3 linked regions of the Coturnix japonica genome follow. The main gene of each other region encodes a partner of the protein of the gene in region 2 in a complex. Links are inferred from orthologs where the notes say so. Each region holds a gene or a part of one and is shown on either strand. Other genes may lie near its edges. The genes, in order: CNTN4, PTPRG and contactin-6.

The links.
Region 1: the proteins of PTPRG (region 2) and CNTN4 are in contact, whole or in part, in a crystal structure (PDB 3KLD), measured with the Mus musculus proteins. The link is inferred for Coturnix japonica from reciprocal best matches to the Homo sapiens genes PTPRG and CNTN4. Residues at the interface, in NP_033007.2 of Mus musculus: Lys222, Val225, His226, His227, Lys229, Phe288, Thr290, Gln293, Asp294, His295, Val296, Lys297, Ser298, Val299, Glu300, Tyr301; in NP_001103219.1 of Mus musculus: Thr128, Arg129, Ser130, Val132, Ser133, Arg135, Gln138, Gly139, Met140, Val141, Leu142, Leu143, Cys144, Gly145, Val219, Met220, Gly221, Glu222, Tyr223, Glu224, Pro225, Lys226, Glu228, Leu250, Asn304.
Region 3: the proteins of PTPRG (region 2) and contactin-6 are in contact, whole or in part, in a crystal structure (PDB 5E5U), measured with the Mus musculus proteins. The link is inferred for Coturnix japonica from reciprocal best matches to the Homo sapiens genes PTPRG and CNTN6. Residues at the interface, in NP_033007.2 of Mus musculus: Val225, His226, His227, Lys229, Phe288, Thr290, Gln292, Gln293, Asp294, His295, Val296, Lys297, Ser298, Val299, Glu300, Tyr301; in NP_059079.2 of Mus musculus: Arg129, Val132, Arg135, Gln138, Gly139, Val140, Val141, Leu142, Leu143, Cys144, Gly145, Met222, Gly223, Tyr225, Glu226, Pro227, Lys228, Glu230, Leu252, Asn306.

What each region holds. Positions count from the first base shown.
Region 1 is NC_029527.1:15,462,610-15,468,346, forward strand, and holds part of CNTN4 (contactin-4), read left to right. Parts: intron 1-208; coding exon 209-279; intron 280-1,133; coding exon 1,134-1,368; intron 1,369-1,876; coding exon 1,877-1,992; intron 1,993-2,481; coding exon 2,482-2,668; intron 2,669-3,094; coding exon 3,095-3,207; intron 3,208-4,301; coding exon 4,302-4,470; intron 4,471-5,373; coding exon 5,374-5,474; 3' UTR 5,475-5,737. UniProt on the Homo sapiens protein: Contactins mediate cell surface interactions during nervous system development. Has some neurite outgrowth-promoting activity. May be involved in synaptogenesis.
Region 2 is NC_029527.1:10,565,410-10,571,466, forward strand, and holds part of PTPRG (receptor-type tyrosine-protein phosphatase gamma), read left to right. Parts: coding exon 1-17; intron 18-357; coding exon 358-504; intron 505-2,326; coding exon 2,327-2,420; intron 2,421-3,681; coding exon 3,682-3,758; intron 3,759-4,169; coding exon 4,170-4,298; intron 4,299-5,927; coding exon 5,928-6,057.
Region 3 is NC_029527.1:14,909,957-14,915,968, reverse strand, and holds the start of contactin-6, read right to left. Parts: upstream 4,197-6,012; 5' UTR 3,434-4,196; intron 1-3,433. UniProt on the Homo sapiens protein: Contactins mediate cell surface interactions during nervous system development. Participates in oligodendrocytes generation by acting as a ligand of NOTCH1.

The sequences.
Region 1 (5,737 bases), about 4.9 Mb from region 2:
ATACTTTTCATATACGATTATTGACATACTTTTAATGTGCTGTTTGCTGTGGCAAATTAGTCATTTGCTCATGTTTCCGATACCCAGCAGAGGAAGGCCAGCAGAGTCCTGTAGCTGGTTCATTTCAACACACTCCTCTGGTTTCAGAATCCCCACATGCGTTTTCAGTGCTATCTACAGTTCTGCATCTTGTTTTAATTTTTTGCAGTTCCTGAAGTCACCCCAGCCAATGTCAGTGGAGGTGGAGGCAGCAAGTCAGAGCTGGTCATTACGTGGGAGGTGAGTGGAGACCAAACCAAGAGGAGAATGAATATGGTGCTGCGAACCAAGGGCAACTCCTGAGCCTCAGCCCTTACCTTGGTGCTGTGTTATGTGGCAGCAAATGGTTAAGAGTTAGCACAATGCAATTCACGCTGGTTTTTACTGCTGCTAATGAAAGCCAGCAAGAGGAGATGCAGAGATGAAGAATGTTTAATATTCCTTAAGGCAGCCAGGGCTAGAACTTTAGTCATTTGTCTGCTCGTATTTTCATGTTATGATGTGATGCAGCTGGCGTATTTTTCCTAATAATGAACTTCACTAGACATGCTAACACTTCCACTTAGCACTGTTCCTGACCAAGCTGGCAGAATGAATCACCAGAGATATTTTTAAGGTTATTAAAAAACTATAAATGGGTTTTTCTCCTTACCACACAGCTCAATGTGCTAAATTTCCCCCTCCATTGGACTAATTAGTTTCGCTGCATCTCCTACAGATACTCCAATATGTTTCAAAAACACAAGAACATCAGCCGTGACTTTGACTCATAATTTGCACAGAATATAATTTGTATTCCAACACAACAGTCAATTTATTCTCATAAACATCCAGAGGCCATCTTTCTAATGGCCTGGTATTTTATATTTTTGAGCCTTGGACTGCAGAGCGACGCCGCCACCAAAAGTAACCCCTTGACACACAGGACAGTGGCCCATCATTACAGAATATTGTCATACATTGAAACTTTGGGTGTCCATAGGCCCATTTGAGCTTCCAGCTGCTAACCCTAGACTTAGGAAGGACCAAGAAGCAATAGGGAAATAAATGCAATTGCTCAACTTGCCACCTCTCCATGCTTTGTCTGCCCACAGACCGTGCCTGAGGAGCTGCAGAACGGAGGTGGCTTTGGCTACGTGGTGGCCTTCCGCCCCTTCGGCACCATCAGCTGGATGCAGACCGTCGTGGCCTCGCCAGACGCCTCCAGATACGTCTTCCGCAACGAGAGCCTGCCGCCCTTCTCGCCCTACGAAGTGAAAGTGGGGGTGTACAATAACAAGGGGGAAGGCTCCTTCAGTCCCGTGACAGTCGTGTACTCGGCAGAGGAAGGTAGTGTGAGGAGCCCATCCCCCCTCCCCCGCCTTGCCATCATCCGCGGATCAGAGAGGGTTCAGCATCCGCATTGACATTTTTTGATTCCTAATCCTTGCTCTGATTTATAATAAATGGTGCACCGTGATTAATTCTTTTGATAGTCATTAAAATAACATTAATCGTAATGAAATCTTTTGATATTAATGAAAAAGCAATATGTAATCTGGAAAGAATTCAGCAGAGATTTAGTATGAATTAATGTCCACTGATTAGAAAATGTTCCCTCTTGTCCTAATTACTGTACATGGTATCCTAGGTTGGGCTTAGTAATGACATTTATTATTTCTCTTGCAAAGGGGAAGTGCAGTCTAGCACAGGCCTGACAGGGCTTTGTTTTGAAATGGGAAAGTTTGTTTTTGTCACATGCCTCTTTTCGCATGCAATAATGAAATTCCCTTGAAGTTAGTGACTAATTAAACATAGAATTGAAAACTCTGATTTTATTTTTAACTCTTCTACCCAGAGCCAACCAGAGCTCCAGTCACAGTTCTCGCCAGAAGCCTTTCTGCCACAGACATTGAAATTTCTTGGGCTCCTCCTCGAGAGAATCAGCACAAAGGAAGGATACAGGGCTATGAGGTAAGGCAGGGAGCCACGGCGTGGTTCCAGGGCTGTGTGCTAAGCAGTTTGGGGCAGCACTGCTCCTACTGTGTGGTCCTGCTGAGCAGTGCCTTACTCTTTCAGCAGTAAGAAAAGGTTCATTCTCTTCCGCGGTAAAAGGTGACACATCTGTCTGTGTGAAATGCAGATGGGAACTTGCTGTGGTCAGACAGTGTGTGCTGATGACCAGACAGGCTGCTCTGACATCAGCAAGCTTCTTGGGAAAGTCCATAGTTTGCAGGTCATTTCTTCCATCTCAGACCAAAGCAGTGGTCATAAGCAGCCCCGAGTTTAAGGACAGAAGGTATCCTGTTTAATCCTTGGCATCTCCCCTGAGGTGGGAAAAACAGCAAGACTTGCCCAGATGAGACACAGAGAACCTCTTTGGGCAGAAGTATCATAGAGCTAGGAACCACCAGGATGCTGCCTGCCTGCAGCTGGGGTTGAAGCGCTCACTTTGTCTTGCAGGTCAGGTGTTGGAGACATGACGAAAAGGAAGAGAACGCGAGAAGGATCAGGACAGTTGGTAACCAGACATCTGCCAAAGTCACCAACTTGCAAGGCAATGCACTCTATCACCTGGCAGTCAAGGCATACAACACTGCTGGCACCGGCCCGTCCAGCGCCGTGGTCAACGTGACGACAAAAAAGCCACGTGAGTGCTCAGGACAGTAGGCCGTGCTCTGCCTGGAGAGGGTCTCTGCCAGCTCTCCTAGTTTTAATTGAGCCTAAGGAACTGGGAGATATTTATTTGCTGTTTTCTTTGTGCAGAAGGATTAGCCATTTCTTGGTAAGGTTCTTCTCCATGTTAAGTAAGCAGAGCTTGCAAAATTAAAATCACAGCTGTGTAGGAACATTAAGTATTTATCTTGTTCAAGAGGTTTTTTTCTTCTTGTCTTGGGCATGTTGAGCACCTGAATGCATACCTTTACAGCCAGAAGACAGTGCAGTGTCACAGCTGCTGTGACCTCAGGGAGATCAGCTCATAAGCTGGGATGGGACAAGTTGGAAGGGTATGGGGAGGGATCTGACTGCCAATGGCACTCCACAGTCACAGAATGCTTTCTCTGGTTTGCCATAGCACCAAGTCAACCCCCTGGGAACATCATATGGAACTCATCAGACTCCAAGATCATACTGAACTGGGACCAGGTGAAAGCACTGGATAATGAGTCAGAAGTGCGGGGCTACAAAGTGAGTGTTTGCCAGCACGGGTCATACACAGCCTCCATTGGGACATGCAGGGAGTCCTGATGGAGCATTGGCTGTCCCCAAATTCTTGCACTGGGCTTTAATGGGAATGTTCATTATCCTGTATTGAGTTTGGGGTTTACAGTAGGACCTTGGGTGGAAACCTTCCAGAGGCTGTAGCCAGCTCCTTAATTGCAGATAAATAAAATGCTTTTTTAATAGCTCTATTTTCTTCAGAAAGCAAAGCCAAAAGAAAAGAAAGAGAATCCTCATTAGTAGCTGTTTTAATAGGGTTTAATTTAACCAGAGAGAAATCTTGGGAAGAATTCAGCTCCATCACCTTCCACGAGGGTTTAATTTGGCCCAAAGAAGACACCAGTGAGTGAATGCCAGCCATTGCCTCTGGGGCTGGGCTATGTGAGCATTTCCACCAGAGCTGGAAGCAGTGAAGGACCTGGGCACGCTTCATTTTCTGTTCACAGCCCACAGTTTGGCAGCATCAGACTCATGTGTTTGTGCCAGCTCTCATGTCTGCCCTCACTTCTAAGTATCTTTGATGCACTCTGCTGAATAATCAAAAGTAAGGAATTTCTCGGGGCTTTCAGTCAGAAACCCCAGATGAATCCCAGCAGTTCAGACTGTCTCATCCCTACACATTTTTGGTCTGAAATGCAAATTAAGAAGTCAGTTGAAACAGGTGAAAGAGCCTCTCATACCCTTGAAAAGGCAGAATCTGTCTCACAGGTGTCTAAAAGTTCCTTTCTTTACTTACGGTTAGGATAACTCACATTCCTTCCCGGCTCACAGCAAAACACTGCCCAATTTTTGGTGTTTTTTTTTCTGGAAATCTTCAGAATTATGCCACAATTTGTGGTGCTAATTAATAGGACTTGTGGTTCTTAGCAGGTGAATTTAAGAAGTAGTTTAGGTGGGGAGGGCAGTAGTGGCTGCTGGGGTCAGGACTGCACCTTGGTGACCAGACTGTGTGTCTGGGTGTCACTGGGTACTTGAGGTGTGTGAAGAGCAGTGGTCAGACCAGATGCTCCTACAGCAACGAGTGCTTCTGCTGTTTGTGCTTCCTCATTGCTCTCCCACAGGTTTTGTACAGGTGGAACAGGCAGAGCAGTGCATCTGTGATTGAAACCAACAGGACCTCGGTGGAGCTCTCCCTGCCCTTTGATGAGGACTACATCATCGAGATAAAGCCCTTCAGTGACGGGGGCGATGGCAGCAGCAGCGAGCAGATCCGGATCCCAAAGATCTCGAGTAAGGCCAGGGAGCAGGTGCCCCTCTACCCTGTGTCACCCCAGGAGCAGCCAGTGGGACCTGGGCATGGGCATCATGCCCTGGGGGGGCAGAAATTCAGCATCCAGCACAGCTCAGGGTCCCAGCTCCAGCCTGAGCCAAGGTTAAACTATGAGAGATGCTGTCATAAGCGCTTACGGTTCTGTTTTAAGATTTCTACACACTTTCTGCTTCCTACTTCCATACTCATATATACTGAATATATTGTTTCACTGCAACTCACTATAACAAAATATAAAACGCAGTGTTCAGAGACTTTTAAATTTATAAGGCTACTATATAGCAATATTCCATTCTGTGTTGGATGCATAAATATTTATTTAGGGAAATGAGGTTGTGCAGAAGAACAAACAGAAAAGAGAGTATTTTATTACTCAACATTGCTTTTGCAAAATCTCCATGTCCCATCTTCCATTAATAATACCGCAGTTTATAAGCTGCATTAAATCAGCTGCCTCTGCAATGCAGGAATGTGGCATTAAAATTACAGCGATGTGAAAAGCCCTGTGTGAGAGCAGAATTATCTCCCCCTGGTTGTGTGCTGTGGCCATACTAACCCTGCAGAGGGATTTCATCAGCAGACACAGCAGAGCAGGAGCGCACGCCAGTTCCTATTTGGCTCCACGCAGGAGTATCCCCATAGGATGCTTTAGGATCGTCCTTTAGGATGTGGATTGGGCCAGGCTGGTGCCGTTAATAACAGCTTGAATAACTGTAAAGAAGTATGTGGGAGAAGCCTCAGAATAACAGCAGTGGAGATTTCAGTGGGCAGGAAGGGGTGGTGGTGGAGCATGGGGAATGGGCAGGGCTGTGGGCTGAAGGTTTGCAGTGCTCTCTGCTGATCTCCCTTTTTTCTTTGCTCAGATGCGTACGCGAGAGGAGGCAGCCCTTCGACCTCCAACGCCTGCACACTGTCAGCCATCAGCACGATAATGATCTCGCTCACAGCTCGGTCCAGTTTATGACAAAAATTACACAGAGGACTTCTTGTTTATAATATAAGCAACATTTAGCTAGCTGTTTTGAAGACACCCAGTACCAAGTAATATTGTGGTTTGAGTACATCTTACTACTGGAAAAATGTTTATGCTTCTTTAGGAATGGCATTATACAGTACTTCCTCAAAGCAAATATAGCTTTGTCTGAAGTTTCCTTGGAAACTCTGCAATGCACTGAAAACATCTGTAATACGATGTTACCAAAGCAGTTTACATATGTCCTTATATGC
Region 2 (6,057 bases):
ACCTCGTCCAGACAGAGGTAAAGACTGCAGTGGGGCTCAGTGTATGACCATGTTCATTTTTATGTTGCAATCAAAAAGCAAATCGATTTTTCAGTTACACCCCTGTAAGTATTGAATACATCACAAGACATTTATTGCACTGGAATGCCTCTCCTTTTCTAGACCAGAAACTTCAGATTTTGCTTATGACTTCTTCAGAGTTGTGTGTGTTAACACTTGTGAAAGGTTTCTTTTATGTTTGGCCATATTTGCATGGATGGTTTGTTTTGCATTCCCTCCTTTAGTGCTCTACCCCCCAGTTAAAGCCAGCCATGCAGTTTATTTCAAGTGCTTACTTGACATGCTTTGTTTATCTAGGAGCAGTACATTTTTATTCATGATGCCTTGTTGGAAGCCATCCTTGGGAAGGAGACTGAAGTATCTGCAAACCAGCTGCATAGTTACGTTAACAGCATCCTCATACCTGGCATAGGAGGAAAGACACGATTAGAAAAACAGTTCAAGGTAAGGCTTATCACTCCCATCCAGAGGGACCTAATTTCTCCGCTTTGTGTTGCTTGGTGTGCCTTCCCTGTTCATTGTCAGAGATAATGAACCTAACCAGAACACGTGATTAGCACAGCACAGCATCAGGGCTCAACAAGTCAGCCATGCTGTTGGAAATCAGCTCTGATGCTCTTGAAGTCAAAGATGCAAAGTGGAACACGAGCAGCGCTTTGAAGCGTGCTGCTGACAGTCTCCCCTTTTCAAAGGAGTTGGGCATTCCCGGGCCTGTGGGTAACTTGGCCAGAGGTCTTCCTCAAAACTGTGATTCTTATGTATATATATGGAGAAAGAAATGAGCTGAGGTTCTTTGTGCAACTTGCTATTTCCATGTTGTAAATAAGTAATTTAAAATACTTCAGTGCCAGGAAACACAATGTGCCTTTCTCAATGCTAATAGCCATGCTTGCTGCTTTTCCCTACTGTTTTATAGCTGCATTTGTCATGGCCAAAGTAAAATTATTTGCTTTGATCTATACAAAACCTACAATTTTCCGATTGCATTTTTTGAATGCATTTCTAACTTGTTTCTGGGACTGTGTTTCATATGATCATACATGATGTCTGTTTTCACACCTGAACTCAGTTTATTAACCACATAAGGAACTGAAACTGTTAAATTTTAACAGGTGCAAAGCTATCCAAAAAATGAACAAGGTAGTCTCAGAATTCACTTGTAGAAATGTCAGTACTCTCAATCGAGAAAGACATTCCAAGTGCTTAATTACAAAGTCAAAGAAACAAGAACAGGAGTGTGCACACACATGCAGGAGAAAAAGGCATTTGACTAGAAAAGAAAGATTCCACGTCTATAAAACATATCAAGCTATAAGGATGGAGAGGTTTTCTTACGGCTTATGGCAGAATTTGCACGTTTGAAGTGCCATTTTCCAAAATGACTTACTCTGCTAGGGCTGCACGAGTGTTTAGAAACTGAAACTTCCAGTGTAGCAATACTAGTATGTAGATGAGTTACGTGCTGTTGTGATTAGAGTGGGTTTGAAACTGGGACTAAGAAAGCAGTGATTATTAAATCCCTGATTTCTGCTGCCAGCTCAGAGCTGGCAGAAAATAACTCGTGCCATGATACAGATGTTTGGTTTTACCAACTGAGAGTAAAATTACACTGAGTAATGAGTCGCTACTGCAGGAGATGGGAAAGCCACCTTCACCCTTCTTGCTCTGGGAGAGCTCCCCATACGCCGGGGGAATATTCAAAGACAAATCTGCCTCCCTGACTTTTCATTTTGCCCGGAATGAATTTAGCTGACCGGATAATACAACTCTCAGCCTCAAATCCCTGCTGCTGGTGTGTTGGGTTCCCAAAAGGCCTGGCAGAGGAAAATAAAAATAAAAACTAAAAAGGCATTCTACAGGAATTGCCTTGCTTTCAGTTTGAAAGAAAACATAAAAGTTTGGGGTTTTTTTGGTCATAGTTTTATTTTGCTAGCTGTTCTTCCCCCAGACCTGCTTCCAACTGAACGTATCTCCAAGTCTTTGAAATATATTCTCGAAGGTAACGAAACGTACTGCTCTGTGAAAATGCATTGGGATGGAACTTCATTTTCAGGATGCTTCAAAGCTGAGAGCTGTAGTGATCTTTTTAGCCATTAAACAAATTGTATGAAAAGGATGATTTCCATCGGCATCCGGAGTACTTTAAACAAGTTTAACAACGCGGTGTGTTCTTCTACTGCTGCTTCTTCCCAGGAGTTGGCAAAGAAACCACCTCTCTTCATTTAGAGGGCTGTGAGGACTGACTTACTGCTTTATTCTCTTTCAGCTGGTTACACAGTGTAATGCAAAATATGTGGAATGCTTCAGTGCTCAGAAAGACTGCAACAAAGAGAAGAACAGGAACTCATCAGTCGTGCCATGTAAGATCGCATCTTTGGTTTGGTTACCACCTAGCATCACTTTTGGTAGTGAGCACTCTCTGTTATGCATGAAAAGGCGTAGCCACTAGGAAGAAATGTGATCTATATAGGCCAAGCTGTCTTGTCTTGAGGAATTACTCTGATGAAACTGAATGTAAGAAAATAGTTATGGTGTCAGTTAGATATCCTGCCCAAGTGGAATGTTAATGTGAAGTGCTTAAGAATTTGAATAATTAGGTGGAGGATAAATCTATGGATTACTGTCATAATTTGATGGAGCTCCCAGCTCAGGTGAGATCTCCCGGGGTGATTGGCACAAGTGTTTTTATGATTTACTTAACTTTATAGTACATTCAGTTTCTGTGTGCAAGCCTTCCTCAGATTTGAGGGTGTTTAGTGCCCAAGGCCACAGTTTCACGATCGTTAATATGGAATCTGTGCACAGTTTCCAGGCAGTGTGAACTTGCTAAGACTAAGCATAGTCACGACATCATTCCCATCACATTGCCCAGAGCACAGGGCATACAGGACAAGCAGTACTCAAAGTAGTGCAGCGCTGTGTGGGCACAGATTTAGTCCATTGTGAAGTTTGGTAACAACAAGAAAATCATCAGGAAATGTGTTATAAATGAAGGAGAATTGACTGAAATAGCCTGTATGATTTAGCAGATTGTGTTATGGAGCTGCAGTGATTTCAGTTTGGCAGTAGGAGCCTGTTGGATGTCCAGGTGATGTCACTGAACCCAACCCTCAAACACTAAGCAGTGCAGACCTGCTGAGGAACACTCACTCGCTTCTGGGTTGTTCCTCCTGATGGAAGGGTTTTATCTAAGAAGGTTATCTCACCTTTCAGATGGGAGGAATGAGCGGTGGTTGTGCTATGTAGTGGTAGGGAAAGCAAAATCAGTTACCTGGGTTTTTGTGCTGCTAGAAACAAATAGAATGCTACAGTCAAAAATTACCTGAAATCCCCTGTTATCACTGCATATACTGTTATTCGGTAATTCAGCCTGCTGTGAAAATCTTTGCTATAGTAAAATTTGATTCCTGAAATTACTTTGTCCTTGTGGGAATATTGTGCAGCGTTCTCTTTTATATTTTGGTTAGCAGGCAGTGCTTTAACACGGTTAAGTGCTGGCCTGCTCCTGCAGGAGATGGGAGCTGCAGTGTTTGGTTTGTTAACGTCTGAGAAATTCCTGCTTTCTGCAATGGGCCATGACCAGACTTTGATGTTCTTCTTCTTTTTATCTTTGTCCTGTAGCTGAGCGTGCGAGAGTGGGCTTGGCACCACTGCCTGGAATGAAGGGGACTGATTACATTAATGCCTCTTACATCATGGTGAGGAAGCCAACATCTAATTACAAAGTAAAATCAATTCTGAGGTGCTAAATACCAGATGCCTATAATTGTCTTAATTCTGTATGTAATGGCTGCGTATGAGCGGATGAGATTTTAACACCTTCCCCATAATGTAAAGCTATTAACTGTGTTTTATTAAAGATTGTTGCTTAAGAAAATTAAATACTAGATGCATATTTTCCAGAGGTACAGTCAAATAAATACTGGGATTTAGAGTAAGTGAAAACAACAGGGACTTTGCAGGCTGGAAATGGCATTACGGAATTACAGTCAGTGCAAAAATGTTGTGATATAGAATGATATAGGGTTGTCGTGTGTCCCCAGAGATAAAATTAATGCTTCAGAAGTATTGAAGGCAATAAGTAACTGTGGTTTGTTTTGCTGGAAAAGGGCTACTACAGGAGTAACGAGTTCATCATAACCCAGCATCCGCTGCCACATACAACTAAAGATTTCTGGCGAATGATCTGGGATCACAACGCGCAGATCATCGTCATGCTGCCGGACAACCAGAGCCTGGTGAGTGAAACACCTCCTTCCCTGTCGTACAGCAGTGACTTAGCTCAGCAGGCCACTGTAGAGTCACTGAGTCATTAAGGTTTGAAAAGACTACTAAGATCCTCAAGTCCAGCCATCAACCCATCACCACTGTGCCCACTAAACCACGTCACTAAGTGCAGCATCTACCATTTTCTTGAGCACCTGCAGGGATGGTGACTCCCCCACCTCCCCGGGCAGCCTGTTCAGATACCTAACCACTCTTTATAAGAAAACATCTTTCTTAATGTCCAGCCTGAACATCCCCTCGGTCATTTCTTTACACGCTGTAGTTACTTTCTTTTGAAAGCAAAGCCAGTTTACAAGTCACCCTCTTAAACTTTGCCTTAAGCGTGCTATAAAAGACTAGGGCAAGGACTTTGAGAGGAGCAAAAATGCAAAGCAAAGACATTAGAAAAGTTGCTTGTTTCCAGGAGTCTGAGGCCATGCAGGATTTAAGGCTATGCAAGATTACAGAAGTTATTTTAACGTAAGCTTAACATGTATGTTAATTTGTGAGACAAAGAGAGAGAAGCAGGTGACACAAGTGAAGTGCTAATCAGTACTTCCAGGTTTACTAACATATCTCAAGAGGACACTGCAAAAGGATTAAGAATTAAATGTGTTTTTTTCATACATGCATCATTAAGGTGCACAGACAATTGCAGCTGAGAATGGTAGAGAAACCACCTCCATTACAGCTGAAAAATAGCAGTCATGAGAGGCAGCAGTATAAATATTATACTAAATATCATGTCATAAAACTAGGGAGTCAGCATTCTGTATGCTTCCCATGTGCATTACAAATGCAGGTCAAAGATCATTCAGTGAAATACGATTGAATCAGAAAGTACTAATGAAACAGAGAGTGACAGGTAGAAATGAAGAGGTTGATCTTGTCTTCAAAAGTCTCTGGACTGTCTCTGCAGAACAGTAATGATTAAAGGGCAAACGAGGGGCACTGGACTCAGCCGTGTCACTTGCAAAGATGCTTGGTGCCAGCTTTCATCTTCAGTGAGCCCAGAATGGAGGCTGTCTAGTAGGGCAGTAATGTCTGTGCTCTGGTCCGTTGATTGGTTTCTGTTGTTGGCTTCCAGGGAGGGATGGAAGGGGACTGAGACAGCGTCTTCTCCCACCCTTAAAAATTCTACCCCTTCATGTCCATCCTCCACCCAGATCTGATCCAAAGACCTTCCACTGACAGCCTTGAGTTGTGGCTTAGACCACAATAGGTACAAATTCAGAATAGTAAGCAATTAATTGTAAAGGTCAATGAGTTTTTTCTAAACAAGTGTCTAACTTCTTTGAAAAACTGTGTAGGCAGGAGGTAATATGACACAAAGGTTAAGTACAAGCGAGGTAAGAGAACCATTTCCCTGTGAAACCAATTAAAAAGCAAGTGTTACCTGTTTGGACTCACAAAAGAGGGGCCTGGCAAGCTTAATGACTTCTAGTAGACTAATAGTAAGTTGGTTTTAGACAAAATATATCTTTTAAATGTCAGCTCCTGATCATCTCTATGTATCAAACCAATTTTTTGATCCACTGGACGTTTCAGTCACCCACAAGGTATCTGAAAGTCAGCAGTGCTGTGTTTTTCCTTTCCTCCAGGCAGAAGATGAGTTTGTGTACTGGCCAAGTCGAGAGGAATCCATGAACTGTGAGGCCTTTACTGTGACCCTTATCAGCAAAGACAGACTGTGCCTCTCTAACGAAGAGCAAATTATCATCCATGACTTTA
Region 3 (6,012 bases), about 4.3 Mb from region 2:
AACAATCCCACATAAAAGCCCCCCAAAAAACAGGCATGGCAGACTGGATACTTAAACCGACTGTCAGCAAGCCTCTTTACTGAGCCCAGAAGAGCATATAGCATGATGTTAGTACTGTCCTCAGCCCAGCCTGCTCCGGGTGCTGGCAGGAGGACAAGGAGGAGCAGCAGCAGCCTGGAGACACTGACATGGGGAGTTTAAAGCACTAAGTTATCGAGGACAAAACAAAGTAAGCCGACCAGGAAATATGCCAATAACACGCAACCTGATTAAATGTTGCACAGCTGCTGCCAGCAGTGCAGGAGGGATCATCTGTCTCCTGTCCTCCAGCAGAGCACGGAGACTGCTGCACTTGTGAAAATGCAATCGTGTACCTACCAGCGGAGGAGCTGCTTTTCTCTGCTCGTGTCAGCAGCTCACAGCTCTGTCCTTCTGGTGATTCGAGGCTGGTCCTTCTCAGCTCTGTTCTATATCTTGCAGACATACAAATCCTGTCTTTGAGATGGCACCAGGGGACGACTGTGCATCTTAATGAGGAAGAAGTAAAGCACAGGGCAAGGCAGGTCCAAAGCCACTTGCAAATCCAGGAGAGCTCAGGAAAGACCATTTTAAGACAGGTGTTTCTCCCGCTGTGCCCTTCCCATGTTTTCTAAAGTTAAGCAAATATTCTGGGAAAGAATCCTAGAAGATTTCAGCATACCGCAATGCAACAGAAACGTCCACGCAGAGAGGAGAAAAAGCCCTCACTGCAGGCCTAGGTTATCCACCCCCACATGCTTCCTACAGCAACAGCAAATCAACAGTTGTGTAAGATGAATTACTGCCCATTAATGGGTTGTTAAGAGCTGTTAATTATCTGCTGGGGGGCAGAACAGCTGGGCCTGACCTGCTCAGCCGAGGAGCTGCAGGTGTGAGCTGGCAGAGCCCAGCTCCTCAGCCTGGAAATCTCCAAGTGTTTCAATCCGGTAGATCCAGATCCTCATATTTAGCTGTTGTTACATTTTGTGTAGCAATATCCTGCTGTCACCTCTCTCAGAGCTGAGCTGGTCTGCTCAGCAGCAGCCTTGGTGTTCTGCCTTGGGCCGCATCTGGTTGTTCCCCTGACAAGGCACAGAACTGTAAGTGCCACGTTCTGATTTACCGTGATGTGGGTTGGTTTTCTTTCTGATGCTTCAGCTTTTCAAAGTTACTTTTCCAGCGGCGCAGACTACTTTTTTTCCCTGAGTATTCTGCATTTATAGAAAGTTTGTGTGTTCATAAGAAGGCCTTACAGAAGTGTGCTAGGTTTGGAGCGGAAATAAGGGTGTTACAGAGTGCTGTTTTCCCACAATGCTGGGTTTTTGGTATCCCAGAGATAAATTACCAGTGCAGGTATCTGTGTGGTTGGAAAACTGTCTGAAGTTACTTGAGCCTTTGTTTTGTAAAGAGATTGCTTCGCGCCTAGCAGACCAAGCTGCAAACGTGCCCTCATACCTAGCTCTAATCCACGCTGAGTGCAGCCTTTGATAAGAAGGATAAAAGGGGTTTTGGCATTTTTTTTCCCTCCTCTGGAGTTCACGTGGGTAGAGGTGGGTTTGGGGCATGGTTGCCGTGAGTGGGGCCTGAAGGCAGCTGGCTGGGTTGAGGAGGGACTGTGAGCAGGCAAGCAGCAGCAACCCTTTGCAATGAAGTCAGTCCTAATCTTAAACAAAAGGAATATTGTCTTTTGGTAACGTGGAGTTAATTCAGCTTCTGGGCTGAGGGGGAAAAGATCACTGAATGTCATTTTGAAGAGTTGATGTAGTCCTATATACTTCCAATACAGAGATAAACCTAATGGAAATTTCCTGCCCAGTTACAAATAGTGTTTTATGGGCATGTAATGCAAATGCACAACTTTGTATTTCAGGTCCTTTTGGGGATGCTGGCACCTTGTTTTGTGATTGCAATATTTGCTTCAGCAGCAAGAAATTAGTTTTAGGGGAGCCTACTATGCACCACAAACCTTTCTAATACTGACTGAAGAGCTGGAAGAAACACGTCTCTTCTTTGATTTAAAGCACTTACATTGTTATATATTATTATAATTTCATCCTCAGCATGGAAGGTAACACACCTAATACATAGCAATCAGTACCTCACCACCATTTGAAAACTATAGCTGGATACGTTGGAGTGTTTTATTTTTCTTTTTTAAACAATAAAATTTGATATACAATAGTTGCTAACTTCCTCCAGGTACTGAGTTGGGACTTTTTAATGTCATAAAACCTCTCAAGCAGGGACTCATGGAACGTGAAACACTGATATAGTGCCTCAGGAGCACCAAAACAAAAGCTGGCTGATGGGGATGGGTTCTTTGTGGTGGTGTGGTGCCTGGAATTACAAATGCTGCAGAGTTTACATACATACACACAACTCAGTGAACTTGTAAAACTTGAAGAATTGCTGGTGTGGCACTTCGACCCTCTTGGGAGGAAGAGAATAAAAAGGGTGGAGGAAATGCTATTTCATAAATAGTCTGATTCTTTTAACTCGTTATATTTACCTGAAATTGGCTGCAGCCTTGTCAAAAGGACAAGCAACTTATTTAAATAGGGTGCAGAGTGTTTGCCTCTTGTTTAATCATTCAGGTGCTTAAGTGCTGCAGGAAATTGTTAGCATTCAGCCTGATGGTTTAGAGGCTGCTGGAGGAGACCCTTCAGACATGCAACAACTGTCTGAGTCGAGGTGTTTGCCTAAAGAGCACCATGGGAGTACATGGTTTAACAGAAGGCGCTAGTCAAGCAGTTGCTTCTGCAAATGTGGACTTCCAAAACTTTTTATAAAGCGTCACATTTCTTTATGGCTGTGTCATACTCTGTAAGTAAATGACAGGGTCAAAAATAAACCTTTGCACATCTTGCAAAAACAGAATGCTGTTACCTTGACTTTTTTAATTGTTAAAACAAGCAAGAGGAAAGGCTTCCTTTAAAGGCTTGCTTAAATTTTCTTAGGATTTATGTTGATTGCTTTTACACCTTCAGCTGGTAGAAATTCGATTGGTCTCTCATTACCCACCTCGTTATTTATATGCTGCACAAAGTCTTATGAAAGTGGCAAAATTAGCACTGTCATCCTCTGTGTTATCCGTGTTACTGCAGCAGTGAGCTGTGATACTCTCAAAAAATATACCTGTAGTGTCTGTTACCAGCACAGTCTCCTACTCTGTTTGACTCAGACCTCGCATGCATACAAATTCATTATGTATATATTTGTCTCTTCCAAAAATGTATACATTTGGACCATCAGCCATTTAGAGATAGAAAAACATAAATAAAGCAGTGAATTTTCTTCATTCTCTACCCCTTATGCTAATGAAAAAATACTGATTTTAAACCAAAACAACAACAAAAAAAAGACAGTTCCCCCAGCATTATTCACATTGCAGTAGACAGCACAATTCTGTACTTACAGATCTTAACAGTGAAATGTCTCAGGATCTTTACAATTTTCTGCAGAACTGTTTCAAGCTCTCAGCAAGGCACAGTGTTCATCGAGGCAGAACGGAGCCGTATGGAAGGTCTATGCAGCTGGGAGATAATGGAACTATTTTCCCAGCTGGGACTAGAAGCCTTTTATCCACTGAGCATTGCGTGTCTCTTCACTGGTATTAACCATGAAATACACTGCTTTCCTGCTGCACTCGTGCTAGAACCCACACAATTAATGCTTGAAGCAGATAAACAGGTACTACAGTGTATGCATATTCCTATCTGCAAATCTTGAACGTAGGAAAATTAGCTCTTCACTGATCATCCTTCAAGCAAGCTGAGAGTGAAAACACAGCTGTCAGACTCGTAGCATGAAAGATTAAATGTGCTCTTGCTATTCTTTTCCTACAAATAGGAGCTCCTGTCAGGTAATCAGAAAACCTCCCTACCTGGAAATTGGGTCACACTCAGTATTGGGTTTAGAACAGGAGTAGAAATATTTTGTTTAGTCCCGGGTTACACAGTCACTTCCTGAACTCCATAATACGAAGCCCATCACATGGGAGCTGAGTCGCTGTATCCCAGCGCTGACTGTCGTCCTGAAGCATTTAAATGCCCCTCATATTTTGCATATTGAAAAGCAAAACAACAACAAAAAAGGCTTGTTTGTTTGAAGAAGCAGAGACATAAATCCTTATTACACACAAACTTCTTAGATTTCCGTTTTTCCTCTTGAGACTGCTTCAGCAGAGATCAAATGCAAAGCTCAGACAGGGAAATGACTTTCCGTTAGTAAGCAAAAGTTATTTGTATTCACGAGGGATGGAAGTGGAAAGAGCAGTTTTCAGAATGTTCCTGCCAAGAAAAGTACAGTTGTGTCACAGGCACTGCTTCACCACGTTTTAATGTAATCGTGGTGTAAATCCATTAGTTTGTAATGGGATTAATTGCATGCCTGTCTGAGCATTGGCAAAGTGGAGAGGAAGTGGAAGTCAGGTGGCAAAAACACACAGCAGTACACAGGTGCCTGGAGCAGACAAAACATCTCAGTCTGCAGAAGAGGAGGTGCACACCTCTACATGACTTGGTTGGCATTCACCCCAGCTGTAAGCTGAGTGATGTCCCTTCTGCCACCATACCTATCCTTTCAGGCTGCTGCTTCCCTCCATCCATGTGTTCTGGTCATGGAGGGGTGCAGTGGGTTTCTCTTTGGACTTGTGACCAGCCCATTCAAAGGCACTGCTGAGATGCACTGAGTTTGCTCTAACTGGACGTGGCTATTGAGACAGCTTTGAAGACAAATGAAGTAATGCTCGGAGAGAAGTTAAAGATGTGCCGCCTAAAAGTAGAGGGCTGGAGGAGGTTTCTTTAATTTGTCTGTACAGAAGGATGGTGCTTCAGGCTTGTTTCAAGAGATCTGGATTCTACTCAACCCTTGCAAAGAGCTGCCCAGGAAATGCCTCAGATTCCTAAACTTCCCTTTGTAAGATGGAGGCAACAGGTCCACAGGATCTCATGGGCTGTAGGTACATCCTTCACCAGCACCACAGGGACATGACTGGATCAGTCCCCTCTTGATGCACAGCTCACAGAGCCATCCACCTGATTAACATAACCAATCTTACGTGTCCATTGTGCGAGCATCTCAAATGACTTCACTGACAATTAATTAAGCCTTGCAGCACCTTCCAAAGTAGACAGGCATTGTAATTAGCAGTCCTGCTTTTAATTAGGAATACAATTTGAAATGGAATATAAGTATTTCCTCATTATTATTATTGTTTTTAAATAATGAGAGTGCTTTTTAAAAGTTGCATCAAGTGTAAATAGACCAAGAGTTGGTTATAACTGATTAACCCTTGCTTCTTGTCACTGGTTTGCTTTTAGAGTGTTCTCATTTCCAATTGGGAATGAAAACAAAGATGTCCCCACTAAAGATAGATTATTCACTTCAAGATCCAATATTTTCACTTGGAAAGTACTGTAACAAATATGTTTGAACTTTGAACTTCTGAAATTCTGCACTGTGTTCCTATTAAAAGCTGGTTAGTTCTGATTTTCATTTTCTGAAACATATTATCATGTATTGAAGATTATGCCTATATCTTTTACAAATGACACAGCGAAGACAAAAATGAATATCAAAACAGTCTGTTCCTAAAGGTCAAGATAGAACATTTAAATGTTACCAAAATGTTGTATTTTTTGCCCAGTTTTCTTTCAGAACAAAATTTCATTGACATTGACATTTCATTTTGAACAATTACCATATTCTGGCAGGGAAAGCTGTCTGGCTTTATTTTTTTTAATTTAATTTTATTTTTTAAATGCAGATCAAACAGAACTTTACAGGGTTTCCAGCAGTCAAAAGCTATATAAACCTTTTCAACCATAAAACCTTCCATTGGGGTCCTGTTAGGGCCAGAGCGTGGGTGATTGTCACCCCAAAAGCTGGCACTGGCTCATAATGAGTCAAAAGTTTCCAGAGCTCTACATAAACCGCACAAAGTCCTTGTGTACCTTTCAGGACACTGTCCTAGGCTAAAAATAACTCGGAGAT